Linked DNA regions of Arabidopsis thaliana. The protein of the gene in region 1 interacts with the protein of each later gene in a pairwise test. Each region holds a gene or a part of one and is shown in the gene's direction. Other genes may lie near its edges.

Evidence for each region.
Region 2: the proteins of SPT (region 1) and DRNL interact in binary tests that used the Arabidopsis thaliana proteins (3 or more experiments, as listed by UniProt).
Region 3: the proteins of SPT (region 1) and HEC2 interact in binary tests that used the Arabidopsis thaliana proteins (3 or more experiments, as listed by UniProt).
Region 4: the proteins of SPT (region 1) and HEC1 interact in binary tests that used the Arabidopsis thaliana proteins (3 or more experiments, as listed by UniProt).

What each region holds. Positions count from the first base shown.
Region 1 is NC_003075.7:17,411,747-17,417,424, forward strand, and holds SPT (basic helix-loop-helix (bHLH) DNA-binding superfamily protein), read left to right. Parts: upstream 1-2,336; 5' UTR 2,337-2,420; coding exon 2,421-2,930; intron 2,931-3,162; coding exon 3,163-3,273; intron 3,274-3,345; coding exon 3,346-3,411; intron 3,412-3,508; coding exon 3,509-3,574; intron 3,575-3,668; coding exon 3,669-3,914; intron 3,915-3,992; coding exon 3,993-4,062; intron 4,063-4,146; coding exon 4,147-4,199; 3' UTR 4,200-4,640; downstream 4,641-5,678. Other genes in the region: NAPRT1 (nicotinate phosphoribosyltransferase 1), read left to right, coding at 5,192-5,346, 5,422-5,566, 5,636-5,678. UniProt on the Arabidopsis thaliana protein: Transcription factor that plays a role in floral organogenesis. Promotes the growth of carpel margins and of pollen tract tissues derived from them.
Region 2 is NC_003070.9:8,713,508-8,717,896, reverse strand, and holds DRNL (DORNROSCHEN-like protein), read left to right. Parts: upstream 1-2,518; 5' UTR 2,519-2,587; coding exon 2,588-3,508; 3' UTR 3,509-3,532; downstream 3,533-4,389. UniProt on the Arabidopsis thaliana protein: Required for correct embryo patterning and cotyledon organogenesis. May positively regulate the gibberellin signaling pathway leading to germination, hypocotyl elongation, and leaf expansion.
Region 3 is NC_003074.8:18,656,142-18,660,712, reverse strand, and holds HEC2 (basic helix-loop-helix (bHLH) DNA-binding superfamily protein), read left to right. Parts: upstream 1-2,335; 5' UTR 2,336-2,594; coding exon 2,595-3,290; 3' UTR 3,291-3,758; downstream 3,759-4,571.
Region 4 is NC_003076.8:26,764,050-26,768,305, forward strand, and holds HEC1 (basic helix-loop-helix (bHLH) DNA-binding superfamily protein), read left to right. Parts: upstream 1-2,032; 5' UTR 2,033-2,226; coding exon 2,227-2,952; 3' UTR 2,953-3,208; downstream 3,209-4,256. Other genes in the region: RALFL34 (ralf-like 34), read left to right, coding at 4,071-4,256. UniProt on the Arabidopsis thaliana protein: Required for the female reproductive tract development and fertility.

The sequences.
Region 1 (5,678 bases):
ACAAAATAAAGCAAGAAGAGACCAACAATCTTCATATGGAGAATTGTAAATTGTCCAAATCAGCAATATATAGATGTCTTGAACAATAAAAAGATAACCGAGTTTAACATTAGACCAAAAAAAAAGAAAGATAACCGCTACAGAATTTGTGACGAAAAGAAAAAAGCTTTGGAGAAAAAAACAGAGTAAGAACTGTTTTTGTTGTGTGAGAAGAGTTTGTCCTTAGGTCGCATAATCTTTTAGGATGTAGTTATATGTGTTAAGTGTAACACATGCATATCATTTACTTCTGCAATATATCTCTTCTGGAGTTTCGTAAGGTACTTATGGTTGGTTTGTCTTCGAAACTACCAACGAACAACTTAAAAAACATTGATCTTTTTAATAGCGTGAGTTTGATTTATGTTATCCTTGTTATGGTGCATATGTATTACGGAAACTTTGGTCTGTTTTAGATGGGTAAATAGTTGTATATGAGTAAATATGATATTGCCAGTGTTTTATATAAAGAAAAAGGGAAACGATGATAAAAGGTGAAAAAGAAGTTTAGGATCATCTTTGTTTTTTATTTTGTTTTCCGACTTTCAAATCAGACAAGACAACGAGGTATGGGTCTTTTAACATACAGAGACTCAACTTGAAAATTCTATCAAACCACCAATTAAAAAACCAGAGAAAACATTCAACTATCTTCTTAGAATCTAGACAAAATAAAAAGTGTATCATGCTGATTTTGAACAAATTATTAAAGAGATCTCAACCATCGTTTCATTAATATCTTTGACAATTCTAGAAGCCGTAGTAAATCTTGTCTTTTTATGTGTATATCTTGTTGAATTTGATAAGGATATTCAAAATAATGAGATATGTATGTTGAGTAATTGAGTAAAATCAGATCCCTTGTTTAATTTGACGATTAAACGCTTTTTTCATTATTTTTTTTCGCATTTTGTTGTGTATGTTCTCAATTACAAATTCCACTATAAGCATTTGGACTCTACAATGTCACTTTCTAATTCTGATATTTAATAAAACAATTATTTTGTATATGTATAAATAGTACCAGAAAAACGAACTTAATAAAATAATTGAATCAAAAGCAGATGCTGAACAAATAGCTGCAGCTTTTAGCAATTGTCTCCCATATGCTTTTCCTTTGTTTCAAAAATTGTATATACGAGGTTAAGTGAATGTTGCAATGAAATAAATGATGCAGTTTGTGCATTCATCAAGCGAACAAGTACGATTGATGTTTTCAGTGCAAAAACTAAAATAAAATACTACTAACAACTATATAGTGTAAATATATATAACTTTAACTTCTTTTTTTTTAAGTCTTCATACGCTGCGAACGATCAAAATATATTTACAAATTTACGACCAATATTTTAAAAATACTTCATTAAAGAATTGATGCTGCTGTCTGCACAGTTGAGAACGCAATTGGAAACTTTCGTGCATTCACTTTGTTCGCCGCAAATTGGATATGTGAACGTGGTCATCATTATTTATAGAATTATTCTATAAAACTTACTATAAAACACTAGATATAAAGCTGGATCATATAAAATGAATTTACTAAAAATTCGATAGTTAATTATAGCAGATGTTATGTTCCAATTTGAAAGCATACGAACGAGGTATATAGTTGAAAACACACACCGTAAAGTTAATAATTTTCACAACACAAGAACAAATCAAAGTCGCAAGTAATTTAACGCATGTCAGTAGCATGGGCTTCTTATATACTAGTCAATAGAATAAACTAGCAAACAAGCAACTAATGTATTCTTGTTTATCACGCCACGGGTTACAATATCATACAAAATTTGAATACTAATTAATGGTAACAAGTAAAAAAACAAATTACTAGAAATGGAAATACTTTTGTCAAACAACCAAGACGTATAACTTTCGTTTTCTATAGATTAATGGACTTCTTAAAAATCTCTCCATCAGATTAAACTTTGAGATATACAAATACAGTTTTTGTTTTCTTCTAAATGATATGAATATTAACTTTATCGATTTCATCCGTAGCAGATTTCCATTTTAAATAATAAACTATGAGAAAACAGATAAAGGTTGTATATTATTTGTTACCCCAAAAAAAAAAAAAACTAACTACGAGTAGTAGTTTAGTGTGTCTCACGTGCGACGAGGAAAAGTTTTGGGAGAGTAAAAACATTTAATATTTACGACTAGTTTGAAAAACCGTGAGCTGACACAAGCTCATTGCTAATGCTACAGTAACAGCTACCTTCACTTTTAACTAAATGACAGACCAATCATTTTAACCTCTGTTTTCTTAGCTGGCGCGTGACAGACACTCTCCCTCTCTCCATGCCCATAAAATCTCAAAGACTGTTTAAAAAAAAAAATGTTTTAGCTTTAACTGCTTTTTTTTTGTTGTTGGTGTAATGATATCACAGAGAGAAGAAAGAGAAGAGAAGAAGCAGAGAGTGATGGGAGATAAGAAATTGATTTCATCTTCTTCTTCTTCCTCGGTTTACGATACTCGTATCAATCATCATCTTCATCATCCTCCGTCTTCTTCCGACGAAATCTCTCAGTTTCTCCGGCATATTTTCGACCGTTCTTCTCCTTTACCTTCTTACTACTCCCCGGCGACGACTACAACGACGGCGTCTTTGATTGGTGTGCACGGGAGCGGTGACCCACATGCAGATAACTCGAGAAGTCTCGTTTCTCATCATCCACCGTCAGATTCTGTGCTTATGTCGAAACGTGTCGGAGATTTCTCTGAGGTTTTAATCGGCGGAGGATCAGGCTCAGCCGCCGCGTGTTTTGGTTTCTCCGGTGGTGGTAATAATAACAACGTTCAAGGAAATAGCTCTGGGACTCGAGTATCGTCTTCTTCCGTTGGAGCTAGTGGCAACGAGACAGATGAGTATGACTGTGAAAGCGAGGTTTTTTCTCAATCTCTGTTTTTTATCTTTTGCATGTTTTAAAAGTTGATTCTTTGTCTCTTTCCCGAGAAAATGTTTCTACAGAGATTTCTCTTTAACGGATCTGTACTTTATTTTCCCCCTTAAAATCCGCAATTTTTTTGGTTGTGATTTTGAGTGAAGTTTTGTCATTTGTGAGTGTAATAATGAATGCACACCGAGTGTTTGATAATTTGCTTCAATGAAAATACAGGAAGGAGGAGAAGCTGTAGTTGATGAAGCTCCCTCTTCCAAGTCAGGTCCTTCTTCTCGTAGTTCATCTAAAAGATGCAGAGCTGCTGAAGTTCATAATCTCTCTGAGAAGGTTTGGTTTAGAGTCTCTCCCAAAAGTAGAAACTTTCTTATTTGAGATTTATGTTTATCTTTCTTGTAACAGAGGAGGAGAAGTAGAATTAATGAAAAAATGAAAGCTTTACAAAGTCTCATCCCTAATTCAAATAAGGTAATGATACTATATATAGAGAGACATCTACATGAATCATTCTATTTTCTGTAGATTCTTTTTGTGTCTGATTATTGCAATGTGTTTATTGGGGAAGACGGATAAGGCTTCAATGCTTGATGAAGCCATTGAGTATCTGAAACAGCTTCAGCTCCAAGTTCAGGTCACTAAAGATACCTTATGTTTATCATTATAACCAAAATCCTAAAACCAGTCTATATTCTGACATAAGTCTTTTTTTGTTCTGATATTTGCAGATGTTGACTATGAGAAATGGAATAAACTTGCATCCTTTGTGTTTACCTGGAACTACATTACACCCATTGCAACTCTCTCAGATTCGACCCCCTGAAGCAACCAATGATCCTCTGCTTAATCATACCAATCAGTTTGCTTCGACTTCTAATGCACCGGAAATGATCAATACTGTGGCTTCTTCATACGCTTTGGAACCTTCTATTCGCAGTCACTTTGGACCTTTCCCTCTCCTTACTTCACCCGTGGTGCGTAGTTGAATTACACATTTTTCATTCTATAACCATAAAGCTAGTTTGCTTACTAATTTTTTTTTGTTACTTAAGGAGATGAGTCGGGAAGGTGGGTTAACTCATCCAAGGTTGAACATTGGTCATTCCAACGCAAACATAACCGGTAAAGTCTTGTTGTTTTGGAATCCTAAGGAAGTTTTAGGACATTTACAATGTTAATAACGTTACGATATTTGGGGATTTGCAGGGGAACAAGCTCTGTTTGATGGACAACCTGACCTAAAAGATCGAATTACTTGAACAGTGTCCCAACTTCGGGATCTCTATGTGTTCTTGTTTCTTAGAACGCAAGCCATAAAGCTGTCTGACAATGGAGATGCATTTAACTGTCTTTATTTTTTCTAAGGTTCTATTTAAAATCAATTGTTGGTGACACGAATTCTAGAGTCTAATCTTTTGGATCTAATAGCTATATATAAAAAGGACTGAAATTTTATTACAAAGTAATTGACTAATTGTTAGATTGTTGTATGTTTATGGTGGATGTAAATTTTCTAGATCATCTTCGTATTGTATTTGAGAGTTTGATACTCGATGGCTTTGGATATGTAAATTACCCCGATAAGCTTCTAGAGAAGTTTTCGATTCTACAAGATGGATTTGGTATCTTTAAGGTTGACCATGTTCTTTTGGTATCTCTTGTTCTCAAATTGATCATTTACAATACAATTTTTTAAAATCTTTTACCCTTCACATTTTTGTACTTACATTTGGTATATTAGTAATTTCATTTGTAAGTGTCTTTTAAAAGTTTTTCATTTATAAGTGTTGTTTTAAGATCTTTTATGATAATTAAAAAATGCTTAAATATCTTATTAACCCTTAATTAGTATACTTATAGCTTTAGTTCTCCAATTAATCTTTAGTAAGTAAAAGGGACAGAGCTAGAACTTTATTTAAAATTGGATTGAAAATACATAAATCTTATATTTTTTTCAAAAACTAGTATTGAACATACAATTTATTTATTTTATTTTATTTGTAAAACAACAATAAAAGTAAAATCATACAACGATATATTTTGAAAAAAGGAAAAGTAATTAGGATTCTCTTTCGGTGAAAATATCAGAGAACAAAATATATTTGAATGCGACTGTAGTTGAAACTTGAAAAAAATTTAGATACTAAAGTTTCGTCATTCTCTTTTTGTTAAAGACTCAGTGACGACCCTCTCCTAAAAAACACTCATAAATAAACTCGCTGGAGACGCCGGAACCAAAAACAGAGTTCTAATGGAGAAGAAAGAAAATGGTCTCGATGGAAAGCAATCGGGTCGGGTCATTAACGGACCCACTAACCCGATGGTCACACCTCTGCTCAACGATCTTTACCAATTCACCATGGCTTATGCTTATTGGAAAGCTGGCAAACAATCTGAGCGATCTGTGTTAGTATTCTTCAAAATTTACAAAAAAGTTCGATCCTTTGAATCCACACTGTAAAATCTCATCTTTGTTTTCAGGTTTGATCTGTATTTTCGTAAGAATCCTTTTGGTGGAGAATACACTATCTTTGCTGGTTTAGAAGAATGCATCAAATTTCTCGCTAATTTCAATTTGACTGATGAAGAGATCGATTTCGTTCGTGATTCGTTACCTGGATGTGAGGTATAACACAATCTCTCTTGCCAAAAGATTCGATTTTTGGCATTGTTTTTTAACTCTTTTAAAAATCAGGAAGCTTTCTGTGATTATCTTCGAGGGCTTGATTGTTCTGACA
Region 2 (4,389 bases), on another chromosome or scaffold:
GTTTAGAAGAGAGGCGACAATTCTGGTATCAACTTTAATGTCGTACCATTGCATGTAACCTACTTTCGTAGCTTTGCCCCTTCATTTTTGCCTTCCATTTTCTTCTTTTATTACCAGACATTTCAACTCAAGACCAAAGTTATAATTTCATTTCATCTAAATGTAAAGAAACTATTATGGGAGCCATGGACCGTTATGTTTCGGTCAAGCTCACATTTAATTTACTTCCTTTGTAAGATATATTTTTTTTGTAACCCAAAATATTAAAATATATAGTACTTAAATAAGTTACATAAAAAAAAATCTTTAACTAGAATGCCTCTTGAGCATAATAGTAAATATATTTTTGAGGTATTATAACCCCTATCACATAGCACATTTATTTTTTGAATTAAATAAATTAAGATTTTGGGTTCAAATAGCACATTTTCACATTCTCTCATTCATTTAATTCTTTTATGTGGATATATTGGGAATTTCTCAATAATCTATATCATGTAATCAATAGTGTTCACCACCCTATATTTTTTTTTTCACTACTCCACCCTATATATTTCAAAGCTATGATAATACTTCTTTTTTTTGTTGTCATAACTCATAAAGTTACAAATTAATTCTTTGTAGTTTCGAAAGACGGAAGCATGCATCAAAATAGAAATATAGGATTTTCTTTTCTTAACAGTTTTCCCGTTTTCTCCATCTGACAAATTGACGTCCATATCGTTTAGGTTTAGAATATTAGTCTGATTTCTATGAATTAAAGATCTAGCTAGAGCCGATTATTCAAACTACTTCATGAATTAATCTTCTGTTGATATGTTGTACCGTGTACGTACAAGTTGATACCACCGTTATATAGGTTCAAGTTTTCCACAAATTTCCACATTTTTTAAAAGTGATTTCGATTCCTTACAAACTGAGCTCTGTGGTGTTCAGCTTCATAATCCACTAATTCCACAAGGAGCTCACGACTTCTCTTCCTTCAACATCTACTGTTTGTAGACATGATTTGCCAACGTTTTGTTGAGGAAACATAGTTTTGTTTTTGTTTGCCTCACATATTTATTCCATTTTTTTGTTTGTTATTTTTTTCTTTTCAATCTGCATATTTTTTCGCGGCACAACCTAAATGAAAAAAAAATTACATGCAATTAGATATGATTGTAAATCGTTATATATATAACAACGGCAAAATATTTAGACACTCCTAAAAGACTTCTGCGTTGATATATTTTTTTTCTCCTACGCGATATATGTCAATAATTACGTGATAAACATAATAACATACGTGATAATTGCATGCAACCCTTATATTTAGACGATTGATAATTTTTTCTCCTAGGCGTGATAAAACTTTTTTTGACGGATTTTTTTTTTTTGCATTCAACCCTTATATTTAGGGCTCGAATATGAATGGAGCTTTACAGACATTAATTGATCAAGAATGTGAGAGAGATTTAGATTATTTTTTATGTAAATGCGAAATTACATTAATTATCAAACATATATATACGAAATTAGTGGTGGAGATTGATTTCCGTAAACGCAAAGGGTCATTAGTCACAATCGAGCTACAGTAGGAAAGCCCTAAAGAGGCTACACCATGAAGAAAGAGCCCTAGTTGAGACAAATCCACGTGACTTTGGTTTACAGATTAAAAAGCAAAACCCTAAATAAGCAAATCGACCATAATCTCGTAAAAAGAACAGACAAAACACAACCTCATGTAGAAGGAACAATTTCTGCGCGCCGCCAGTGTTATTAATTCAGAATCATAATTTCACGATTTTCAACCCTCTCCTTTTAAGCTTCAACTCCAACATCATAATTTTCCCTTCCACAAACTACTGTATAAATCACTTTTAACTCTATTGCTTATTATTATTACTGTAATTCATTATTATTATAAATTAATGACCATTGATTATTTCCCAAAACACAATTAAAGAAAAGTGCGTAAAGATTAAAGAATAATATGACCAACGGAAATAGCTGAAAACGATGACCTTTGAATTTGTTCAAAAATAAATGAAATCAATGATTTTATAATTTTAATTTGTAAATTGTTCAAGAAAGTTTTCTGAAATATATTCATGTCTTTCACTTAAAACAAAAGAATAAATCGACCTTTAATCAACAGTATCAAAGGACCTTTATACTCTGACAATAAGAAAGAATGGTGCAAGGGTTAAGATAAAAATAGTACATCATAATTATGAATTTGTTACTTGTCAAAAAGACATGAAATATGTAACTTATAACTGCTTTTATGCAAGTCCGTAGAAAAGGAAAAAGAAAAGACATGTAAGTTCGAACGTGGAACAAGAACTTCGTTAAACGTACTTTTGCTTTCTGCATCTCTCATAGATTCACAACTCACAAGTCAATAAAAGATGCAATGCAAGTCCATTTTTTTAAATTATATATTGGGTCAGGTCCATCTTAAATTAAAAACAATAAAAATGTATATTTTATTTTCTATAAATACGTAATCAGCTATCATCACATTCAGGTGCCTCACAACCCTAAGACAATCACAGAACAAAAAGAAAAATTCTTAGCTTTAAAAATTTCCCTTAGGTCAACCATGGAAGAAGCAATCATGAGACTCGAAGGTGCCGAGCACAGAGAAACCAACATCCATTCTTTGAAAAGAAAGCCATCAAGAACTTCCTCGACAGCTCCTGGCTCTCCCGGAGGAGTAACTACCGCAAAAGCTGCCTCCGGCGCCGGCGCTTCCGGTGTCTCTACGATAAGGTACCGAGGCGTGAGGCGTAGGCCATGGGGTCGTTACGCAGCTGAAATACGGGACCCATTGTCCAAGGAGAGACGATGGCTCGGAACATTTGACACGGCCGAGGAAGCAGCTTGCGCATATGACTGCGCCGCTCGAGCCATGCGTGGTCTTAAAGCTCGAACCAACTTCGTCTACCCAATGCCTTCTCTCGACTCTTATCACCACCGTATTTTCTCGTCTCCTCCAATGAATATGTTCCTTCTACGAGACGTGTTAAACTCTCAGTCTCTTTCTCCGTTAACCACTTTCGCTTACCCGCCTTGTAATCTTTCTAACGTAAACGACGTTGTTCACGAGTCCTTCACTAACGTCAACGATGTCTGTGAAGATCTCTCGCCTAAAGCTAAGAGGTCAAGTACCATTGAGAACGAGAGCCTGATATCAAATATCTTTGAACCAGAACCAGCTAGTTCTGGTCTTCTTCAAGAAATTGTTCAAGGCTTCTTACCAAAACCTATCTCTCAACATGCTTCTATACCTCCAAAGAGCAACCAACAGTCGGTTGGTGTTTTCCCGACGATGCCAGAGAGCGGTTTTCAGACAGATGTTCGTTTAGCTGACTTCCATGTCGAAGGAAACGGATTCGGTCAGGTTAAATATCATGGAGAGTTAGGTTGGGCTGATCATGAGAATGGGTTTGATTCAGCTAAGATGCAGCAGAACGGAAATGGTGGAATGTTTTATCAGTATTGCTTTCATGATGATTATTAGAATATTGTTGTTGTTCTACTTTTTACGTGCTTATCACTTCACAGTTTCTTTAGGGTTGTAAGAAATGAGGTTAAGGGTAACTAACTCAAATCTTTTGTCTTTTAATTTTTCGTCTAGTGCTATGATCAATTTATCTCTATGTTTTAGCAAAGAACAATTTTTATCTGAGTATGAGCGAAGTTAATTAATTGTGTATGACATATGTCGGTTATGAGCAAAGGTAATAACAAAAATAAAGTAAAAATACTCGAGGTGCTGGATGAAGACAATACCTAAAGGACAAAAATATATATCTTGAACAAATTAAGATTTTTTTTTCTTTTCTATAAGTTGACTTCAGAATCATAAAGACAGCCTTTGTCCTCTTGCTTTTTCTTCTTTCCCTTTTCCCTCTCAGATCACCGTAAGGGCATAATTATATTTAGGTTCACAAAATCCTTTGTCCATTAAAGTATTTGCACCATCAAAACTCAGTAAACATATACTTAAGGACTCGAATTTGCATCAATGTTTATAACCCTTATTCAAAAAAACCATATCCCAATTATGATCTTTAGGGGTACTCTTCAAGTATCCAAGAGATCTTCTAAATATTGGAATTTCTAGTGGATGTGATATGAACGATGTTGGGACTGTCTTTAGTTTTATATGATCACATCAGTCTATATTAATTTTTATTTTAAAACAAAACATTATATAAAAATATATCATAAAATTATTCAATTATCGATATTCATTCAAAATAAAATCATAACACTTATTTGAATTTGAAATCTCGTTGTTACTACAATTCTATATATAGAACTATTCTACCAAATATTAATTGAAAAGATTATATTCATTTAAATATGAAATAGAAGTTCAGTGCTCCTAGCTCATAT
Region 3 (4,571 bases), on another chromosome or scaffold:
GAAAAAAGTCAGTAGTCCAATCACTACTAAACTCTAGATTTTATGGAAGTCTATTTAATTTATAAGTTTGTTTGTGGTGAGTTTCATATAAAATTACATCATATATGATCTTTGCATTTTTTATTCGGTGAATTGATGAGAGTACTATCTGATCAAGATATGTTAAATACATAAAGATTTTTCAAACTTTTTTACAAAAAGATTCTTCCAACTAAACAAATCGTCATTGGCGTTTTAGAGTTGCATCGCAAATTTCAGTAAACAATCTTAGCTAATGTTTTCCATTCTGAGTTCTTATTCTTTATTAGTACATTTTTAAATTTGCTGTCGATTTTAACGGCATTTGTTCAATCAATAACGTAGTGAATGACATGGGCGACTTTGATTAAACAGTTCAATAATTAAAGAAAAAAAATCGAAAAAGGAAGTTCTCGAGAGACAAAAAAAAAAATTGTACGAACAAGACTTGGAATCTTGGTTAAGAAATTTAGATTCGGTGGGAAGGAGGAGTGTTTAATTCTTACAGTGACTTTGTGTAAGTAAAAAGGTGAAAAGGGGAAAATAGCATCTATTTTTGTTACTTACGAAGCTGATTGAAAAAGAGAGAGCAGCGAAACGTCATCGTTTCGTTAGCTTTCTTACATGTTTCAGTGTCAACATAAGAGGGTAAAACCAAGTCCAAAGCAACTTACTGTGTCTGTCTATTTTAGGCTAATTATAGGGTAGAAGACGAACTCATAATAATTTTAATTAACAAGTAAGCAATTACTTTTGTGACGTCAAAAGAGATGATTTCTATGAATGAAAAGAAAAAACCCGATGATTTTGCACAAATGAAGCCAAGCATTGATCTTGATTGAAGATTGTGAGGTTTTTGACGTTTGACGTATGCATTTTTAAGGAAAGAGTCATTTATTATTAATTTGGTTGTTGAAGTGCAATTCCTTTGTTAACTAATGTTATAAGAATTTCTTTCTTTTGTTCTTTATTTGTTTTTTGTCAATAAACAGTACTACTCTATGTTCACGTAAAGTTCTTAAAATAAAGAGAAAAATAATTTAATGAAGATCGCAATAAGTCCTTTCCGATCGGCTTTGATAAGCGTGCCATATACCAACGCTCGACGCCAAGTGAGGTTCGATTATATTGAGTCCATTATATATAAGATAATATTCTTCCATAATATACACTCCCTTAGTATATACATTGCAAAACAAATTCATATAAACTAAATACGTTAACATGATGGTTTGTATTTGTGAAACTCGAGAAATTCACTATATTACTCATTTAAACAAAAACAAAAAAATCATGCAAAAAAATAATAACGTAGTACGTTTTCTTCAAGCATGTTCAAAGAAGTTATAACATCAATCTTATTTACTACTTACTAACGAAGACAGTGCATCTCATTAATATTCTCATGCATAACATATTGGATCCATCCAGGTTAAAAGTTAAAATAAGAAAACTTGAATTCAAGGTAATATTGTTTCGCCGTCGCCTGAACAGATCCCGGCGAAACAGATGGGTTCCCTGGATTCTGACATATTTCATGTGGATGTGGGGTAATTAACAATTATAAACAAAAAAAAACAGTAGTATAAAATTTAGATACCAAAAAAAAAAAACTACACAACTACTCTCTCTTTCAGTCTTTCCCATTACACTCATTCGAACTTATATAAAAGATTTATTTTTATATTTTGAAAACAAATTAAAATTGTAGAAATAGGAAAATTCATGGTTGCTGCCTCAAATGGTGAGAGCGGTTCATGCACCTTCATTTGTCCAGAAGCGCCTTAGTTCACAACTCGTGGGTCCAAAATCCCACCGATTGTGACACGTGAACGGTTGATCCAGACAAAGGATAATATCCTTCATGAAATATGACTCAAAACGAATTTTCCATTCATCAGCTAATTTTAGTGACACCAAGTGACTAGTGATTCCAATCTCTTGCGAGTTGCAATGATTCCAGACAAAAGTATATATAAGTACACCAACTAATTTATGCAAAACTGGTATTGAAAGTTTAAAGTAAATAAATTTATATTTTTTGTCATAAAATAAATAGTATAATTTTATTTATAGTTAAAAAAAATACGTGCAACATAAATATAACTGTCCAATGCATATGGAAGGTTGAAACATCCATGTCAAAGCAATGAACAAATTTTCAACTGCTAGCTAGTGTACGTTAATGTATACATACATATATTTACTAAATACATATACGTGTGTGTTACAAAGTTTTAGGAGTGTGAAAAATAGAAGAAGGAAAACAATCCTAATTGTTATAAATTATATATGTAATAAAAAGGAGTAAAATAATAAGAATGGGTCACAAAGTGCTATATAAATCCATCACTTCCTTTTATATTGCTGAATCTCTGATTGGTAGTAACAGTTTACATTTCGCACATAACTCTCCCTCTGTCTTCCACCATCATCTCTTCTGTGATTCAGACACACAAAGCCCTAAATTTCAAGCTTTGTCAGTCCATCTTCTTCTTCCTCCATACCTTATCTCACCAGCTTCTCCATATCTCTCAAAGAAAAAACAAACCCTATAAATTCCACAAAAAAGGAGGATGGATAACTCCGACATTCTAATGAACATGATGATGCAGCAGATGGAGAAGCTTCCTGAACACTTCTCTAACTCAAACCCTAACCCTAATCCCCATAACATTATGATGCTTTCTGAATCCAACACCCACCCGTTCTTCTTCAACCCCACTCATTCTCATCTCCCATTTGACCAAACCATGCCTCACCACCAACCCGGTTTAAATTTCCGGTACGCCCCCTCCCCGTCATCATCTCTCCCGGAGAAGAGAGGAGGCTGCAGCGACAACGCCAACATGGCGGCGATGAGAGAGATGATCTTTCGAATAGCCGTGATGCAGCCTATACATATTGATCCGGAATCCGTAAAGCCACCAAAGAGAAAGAACGTGAGGATCTCTAAGGATCCACAGAGCGTGGCAGCTCGGCATCGAAGGGAGAGGATAAGCGAGCGGATTCGGATTCTTCAGCGGCTTGTTCCCGGTGGGACTAAGATGGATACGGCGTCGATGCTCGATGAGGCTATCCATTACGTTAAGTTTCTCAAGAAGCAAGTGCAGTCGCTGGAGGAACATGCGGTGGTTAACGGCGGAGGAATGACGGCGGTGGCCGGAGGAGCACTTGCGGGTACTGTTGGTGGAGGATATGGAGGAAAAGGGTGTGGCATTATGCGGTCTGATCATCACCAGATGCTTGGAAATGCACAGATTCTTAGATGATGATGATGTTGATTTTTAAATATATATCATATGTTTATTAATATGACGGGAAAAAATATTATCGAGGGAGTTGAATTTAGTATCATGAAACTATGAGAGCATTTTTTTTAAATGTTTTTATCTTTCCGGGTTTCGATAATGTTTGGGATGGTTAATTAACAATTTAAAAGTCAGACAACTTGGTTGTAAAGACTAAAGAATAAGCATAGTTTATCAATTTATCATTACTAAATGAAATAGTCTCTTGTCACTGATCAATGCAACATGTTTTAGCTTTCAGACATCTAGTTAAGGTTTTGTGAGTTGAATAATAGTATTGTTTTCTGTCTTGTTTCCAATGTAAGCGTCAAAAGTTTATAATTTATGGCATTTCGTACCTGTGGTACGTTCTTGATGCATAGGTGTATGATTTTGTGAGCCAACTTTATAGATAACAGGAAGTTTTGGAGACAAATCGATAACACGAACATCTGTGGTGTTGTTTAGCATTTTAACACTTATTGAAAAATAAAAATATATATCATACTTTTAGAGTGTAAGATTCTGCAAAATTTCAATGCATGTAATAATTAATATATAAATACAAAAGTCTAAGCCTCTTATTAAATTAAACGAAAACAGACTCTTATGAAATAAAACAAAAATTGTTTAGAAAATAAATTACCATATATATTGATTTTAATATTGGTGAGTTATATATGTAAAATTATATGTTTTCTATTGTTCTTCTTTTTAGTTAACAAACTAGAAAGGCAGATTGTATTACTACTACTATCTTGCTGTATAAATAACTTTTTCTCTTTTGAATGAGTGTATATCAATCTATCTCGTACTTAAATGTTTTTTTTTTGCTTTCTTTTTTTTGCTTCTTCATAAATTTCTCGGAACTTGAATCAACTACATTCATTACAGAAGATGGAGAAACCCAGCTGACATCCCAACTTTAAAAAATAATTTATATCACAAACCAAGGCTACATATTATTGTGTCACAAGGTAAAGCCCAAATAAAGATCCATTTCACAAAGATAAGCCCTTTACCGTACACAGATATGTTTGTTGTAACAGATAATGATACAAACTAGTATTAGACTTAGACTACATGTTTTGGTCGGAGCACGACGGCGGACATTGTTCTGGGAGCAAAAGGGGTACTTCAGAAAGATGAAGATGAACATGAATAAGGCAGTTTCGTAATTTCACATAAGGACTTCACCGTTAGATTAATCTCGAAAATTTCCATATCTCAGTGTTGTTGTTTTTTTGTGTGATACAGATTGGT
Region 4 (4,256 bases), on another chromosome or scaffold:
CGAGTAGGGCAAAAGTGAAAAAGTGGACTAAAACCGGTTTCTTGATTGAGAGAGTGAGGGCAGTGAAACGTCAACGTTTCGTGGGATTTAGCATGTTTTGGTGTCAACATAGGAGGGTAAAACAAAGATCGAAGCACTTGCTTTGTCTGCCTGTTTTTATCTAATCATGGGGAAGAACCATCTAAGGAGAAAATCAGAGTTATATGTAAATAAACTAGAAAACAAAAACCAGTCTTAAATGTGATTTTGTACAAATAAAGTGAGACAGATCTTGAAAGAACAGTGAGAGCTTGTGGTGTCTTTTGGATTTTGTGTATTTTTAAGGTAAGAATCATTTATTGTCATTTGTTTTCAATTAATTAGGATGCTGCTTCTTGTTTACGGTACATTTTTAGGTTATGTTCCATCATTATATTTAAATATTCAAACGATTATCTGATCACGAATCAGATCCATCTTAAATGATACTATATCATTTATTATTATTTTTTTACACGATACTAATGCATACTATTTTTGTATAGCAATTTGTAAATCAGTTATAAGAATGAAAAAATCTCCACTTTGTTGGGAATGATATCGGGTTGTCAGATGCAGCAGATGATGATTCTTCAGTTTTCGATTTCAACATAAAATTCTTTGGTTAAAAAAGCAATTTACAAGAGAGAAAAAAAGGTTGAGAATTTTCATAAAAACTGAAAGCACCTTCGCCAGAAGGAAAGTCAGTGGGGGTAAGCAACAAAAGTGTTTAATAAAATCTACTATATAGAATAATACATAAAAACTTCCAAAAATGAATAATTCGAAATTTAAGATAGTGAGTAACAAAAAAACAGTAAAATAAAATAAAAAAGGAATGAAGTCGTTCTCAGATCGGCTTTGAGAAGCGTGCCATACGCTAAGGCTTGATGTCAACTGAGATCCAATTAATCATCCTGACTTATTTCTTATCTATCTATATACGTTTGTTCCTCCACCATTTGTTATATATACACACACACACGCATGTATTAATGTATTAACCGTTCTCGTTATGAGTCTGTGTTAATTTAAATCTGACCAGAAAATTTTACAGAATAAAATACTGCTCCCTGGATTCTGACATATCTCATGTGGATGTGGGGTAATCTTATAAATCATAGTCCTCTCTCTCTCTTATTATAATATTTTGGTTAAGTAACCGTTTTTCTTGGATTGAAGAAAACACTTTCGTTAATTAGTGCAACAAAACCAGTTGATAATCTTTTACTCCAGCTATTATATGAAACCTAATTGACCTTTTTCACATACAAAAGTGTTGATTATGAAATGAATACAATAATAATGGTGGAAAAAATGGAATACTCGTTGTTGTGCTTGTGAGACGACCGGTTCATGAACCTTGCTTTGTCGCGTAACGCGTTATGCCTTCTTTGCCTTTAGTGGATCTGAACACCAATAGATGTAAGCCACGTGTTTACAACAAACATGATCTGGACGGTCGATAAATGCGATAAAATAAACCATTGGTCAATTATCGACGGTCATCATCGATACTCATTAATGGAACCATTTTTCTTACTTCTTTTAGTCTTTTTTTACTTGTTTTTCTTTTTGGATCCAAGTTATGTTACGCAATAATTCTACTTATAGTAACTCCTACGTGTACACACTTTTTCATAGCTTCTATTCGCAACCGAACGAAAATATTATGGCTTTATAAAAATGATTTTTCCTAACATTAATGTTTGGGAATTTTATCATCATACAAGTTCAAATATGAGGAATAAAATCCACCTCAATATTTTACTTGCCTTGGTATATAATAACCTATAATAGTTGATATATGATATTACATTGGTAAGTTAGTCCGAATGACCGAATGCATGTGGAATTTGCACTTAGACAAGAAGACAAATTTTGAAATTGAATATATACATATATGCCCATAAATGTGAGAGTTGAAAATGGGAAGAAATTCCTTTTTATTATATATGTGTAGCATAAGTTAAAGAAGATGGATGGGCCACAAGTTGCTATATAAATCCTTCCACTTCTTGTTGTATACTATTGCTTGAGTTCTGATTGGGCACAGTAGTACCATTGCCATTTCTCTCACACATACCGTCTCTTTCTCTCATCATCAATCATCAATCATCCAAAAGAAAAAACCCTAAAATTTCACTTGTAAGCTTTTCACCAGTTTCTCTCCATACCCATTTTATCAGCTTCTCCATATCTTTCTCTATGGATTCTGACATAATGAACATGATGATGCATCAGATGGAGAAGCTTCCTGAGTTTTGTAACCCTAATTCCTCTTTCTTCTCTCCCGACCACAACAACACTTACCCTTTTCTCTTTAACTCCACTCATTACCAGTCCGATCACTCAATGACCAACGAACCAGGTTTCCGCTACGGTTCCGGTTTACTCACTAACCCTTCTTCTATCTCTCCCAACACAGCTTACTCTTCCGTTTTTCTTGACAAAAGAAACAACAGTAACAACAACAATAATGGCACGAACATGGCAGCTATGCGAGAGATGATCTTCCGTATCGCCGTGATGCAACCGATCCATATCGATCCCGAGGCGGTTAAGCCACCGAAGAGGAGGAACGTCAGGATCTCTAAAGATCCTCAAAGCGTGGCGGCTAGGCATAGAAGGGAGAGAATAAGCGAGAGGATTCGGATTTTGCAACGGCTTGTTCCTGGTGGGACGAAGATGGATACAGCTTCGATGCTCGATGAAGCAATTCATTATGTGAAGTTTTTAAAGAAACAGGTGCAGTCTCTGGAGGAGCAGGCGGTGGTTACTGGCGGAGGGGGAGGAGGAGGAGGAAGGGTTTTGATCGGTGGAGGTGGAATGACGGCGGCGAGTGGTGGTGGTGGCGGCGGGGGAGTGGTTATGAAAGGGTGTGGAACAGTGGGGACTCATCAGATGGTGGGCAATGCACAGATTCTTAGATGATGATGATTTTTAATTTTATTATTATTATATTAATGTTGGAGAAAAAGAGAAAAATGATTCTGGAGAGGGAAGCCAAGTAATTTATGTGAGAGTCTTTAATTTAACTTTATTTTCTTGTTTAGATAATGTGTAATGATGGTTTTTAAAGCCAAAGACTCTCCATGGTTGTTGGAGCGAGTTTGTAAATTAGGAACTATTATCATTGTATCCTTGTTAATCAAATAATTAAAGCAGTATTATGCTTTCAGCTATCAGGCTTGTGTTCATTTTTTATTTGTCTAAAAACTAAATGCTGTTTTCAACATGCAAATATCTATACTTTTTTCTTAAATTAAAAATTAAAATTTCAAAATTTGAGTTTATACTCTTATACTTGTATACAGATTTGAGAATATGACTAACCAAAAAGTCCACGATTATTTATTTTCAATTGTTAATGTCTAATCTGATGGATTTGAGGAAGAAATTAACATCTTCATTAAATGATCAGTAATTTCAAAGCATTAAACAATAAAAATTATTTTTCACTTAAAACAAAATCTTACAAGAAATTTGGTCTATAGAATAATTTCATTAAGATGCTATTAAATATTCAACTGGGCCTTTGCTTTTGTGTAACAGTCTCAGGATTGGTCTTTTTCTCATTGTTTACACAATTAGTAGTCTTTTATGTTATCAGCTATATTATTCAGGACCCAAAAACAACTGGACCCATCCGAATCTTTTTAAAAACACAACCTAGCTATCACAAAGGCTGTTTTGATGAAGCCCAAAAAGACCTACTCGTATACCAAAAAAAACCAACGAAAGCCTGGCCCATTAATCTCTCATCAAATCAGGCCAACAATCCAAGGGCTCACAACCAATCATTTCCACTTCTCTTATCCTACACCGTGTCCCACCAGATCACTCATCGTCACACTAACACACTCACCAAAAAAAAAACTCAAAAGCACAAAGCTCGAGGAGGTCCATAAATGGCGCATTTAATTAGAACCCCCAAAATCTCTTCACAACTGTAAAACCCCAATCACCTCTTTACATGTGACTTCCTTATTACTCTCTTCTTCTTATTTTCCTCCTCTTCTTCTTCGCTCTAGTTTCCCCCAACAATCGCCATGGCAGCTTCGTCTCTCAATCTCCTCCTCATTCTCTCTCTTCTCACTTTCATTTCTCTCCAGAGATCTGAATCTCTTTCCGATAATCCATCTCTCACTCTTCTACCCGACGGATTCGACTGGCCGATCTCTCACTCCGATGAATTCGATATCATCGACGGTGAAGAAAGCTTCGAAGTTACGGAG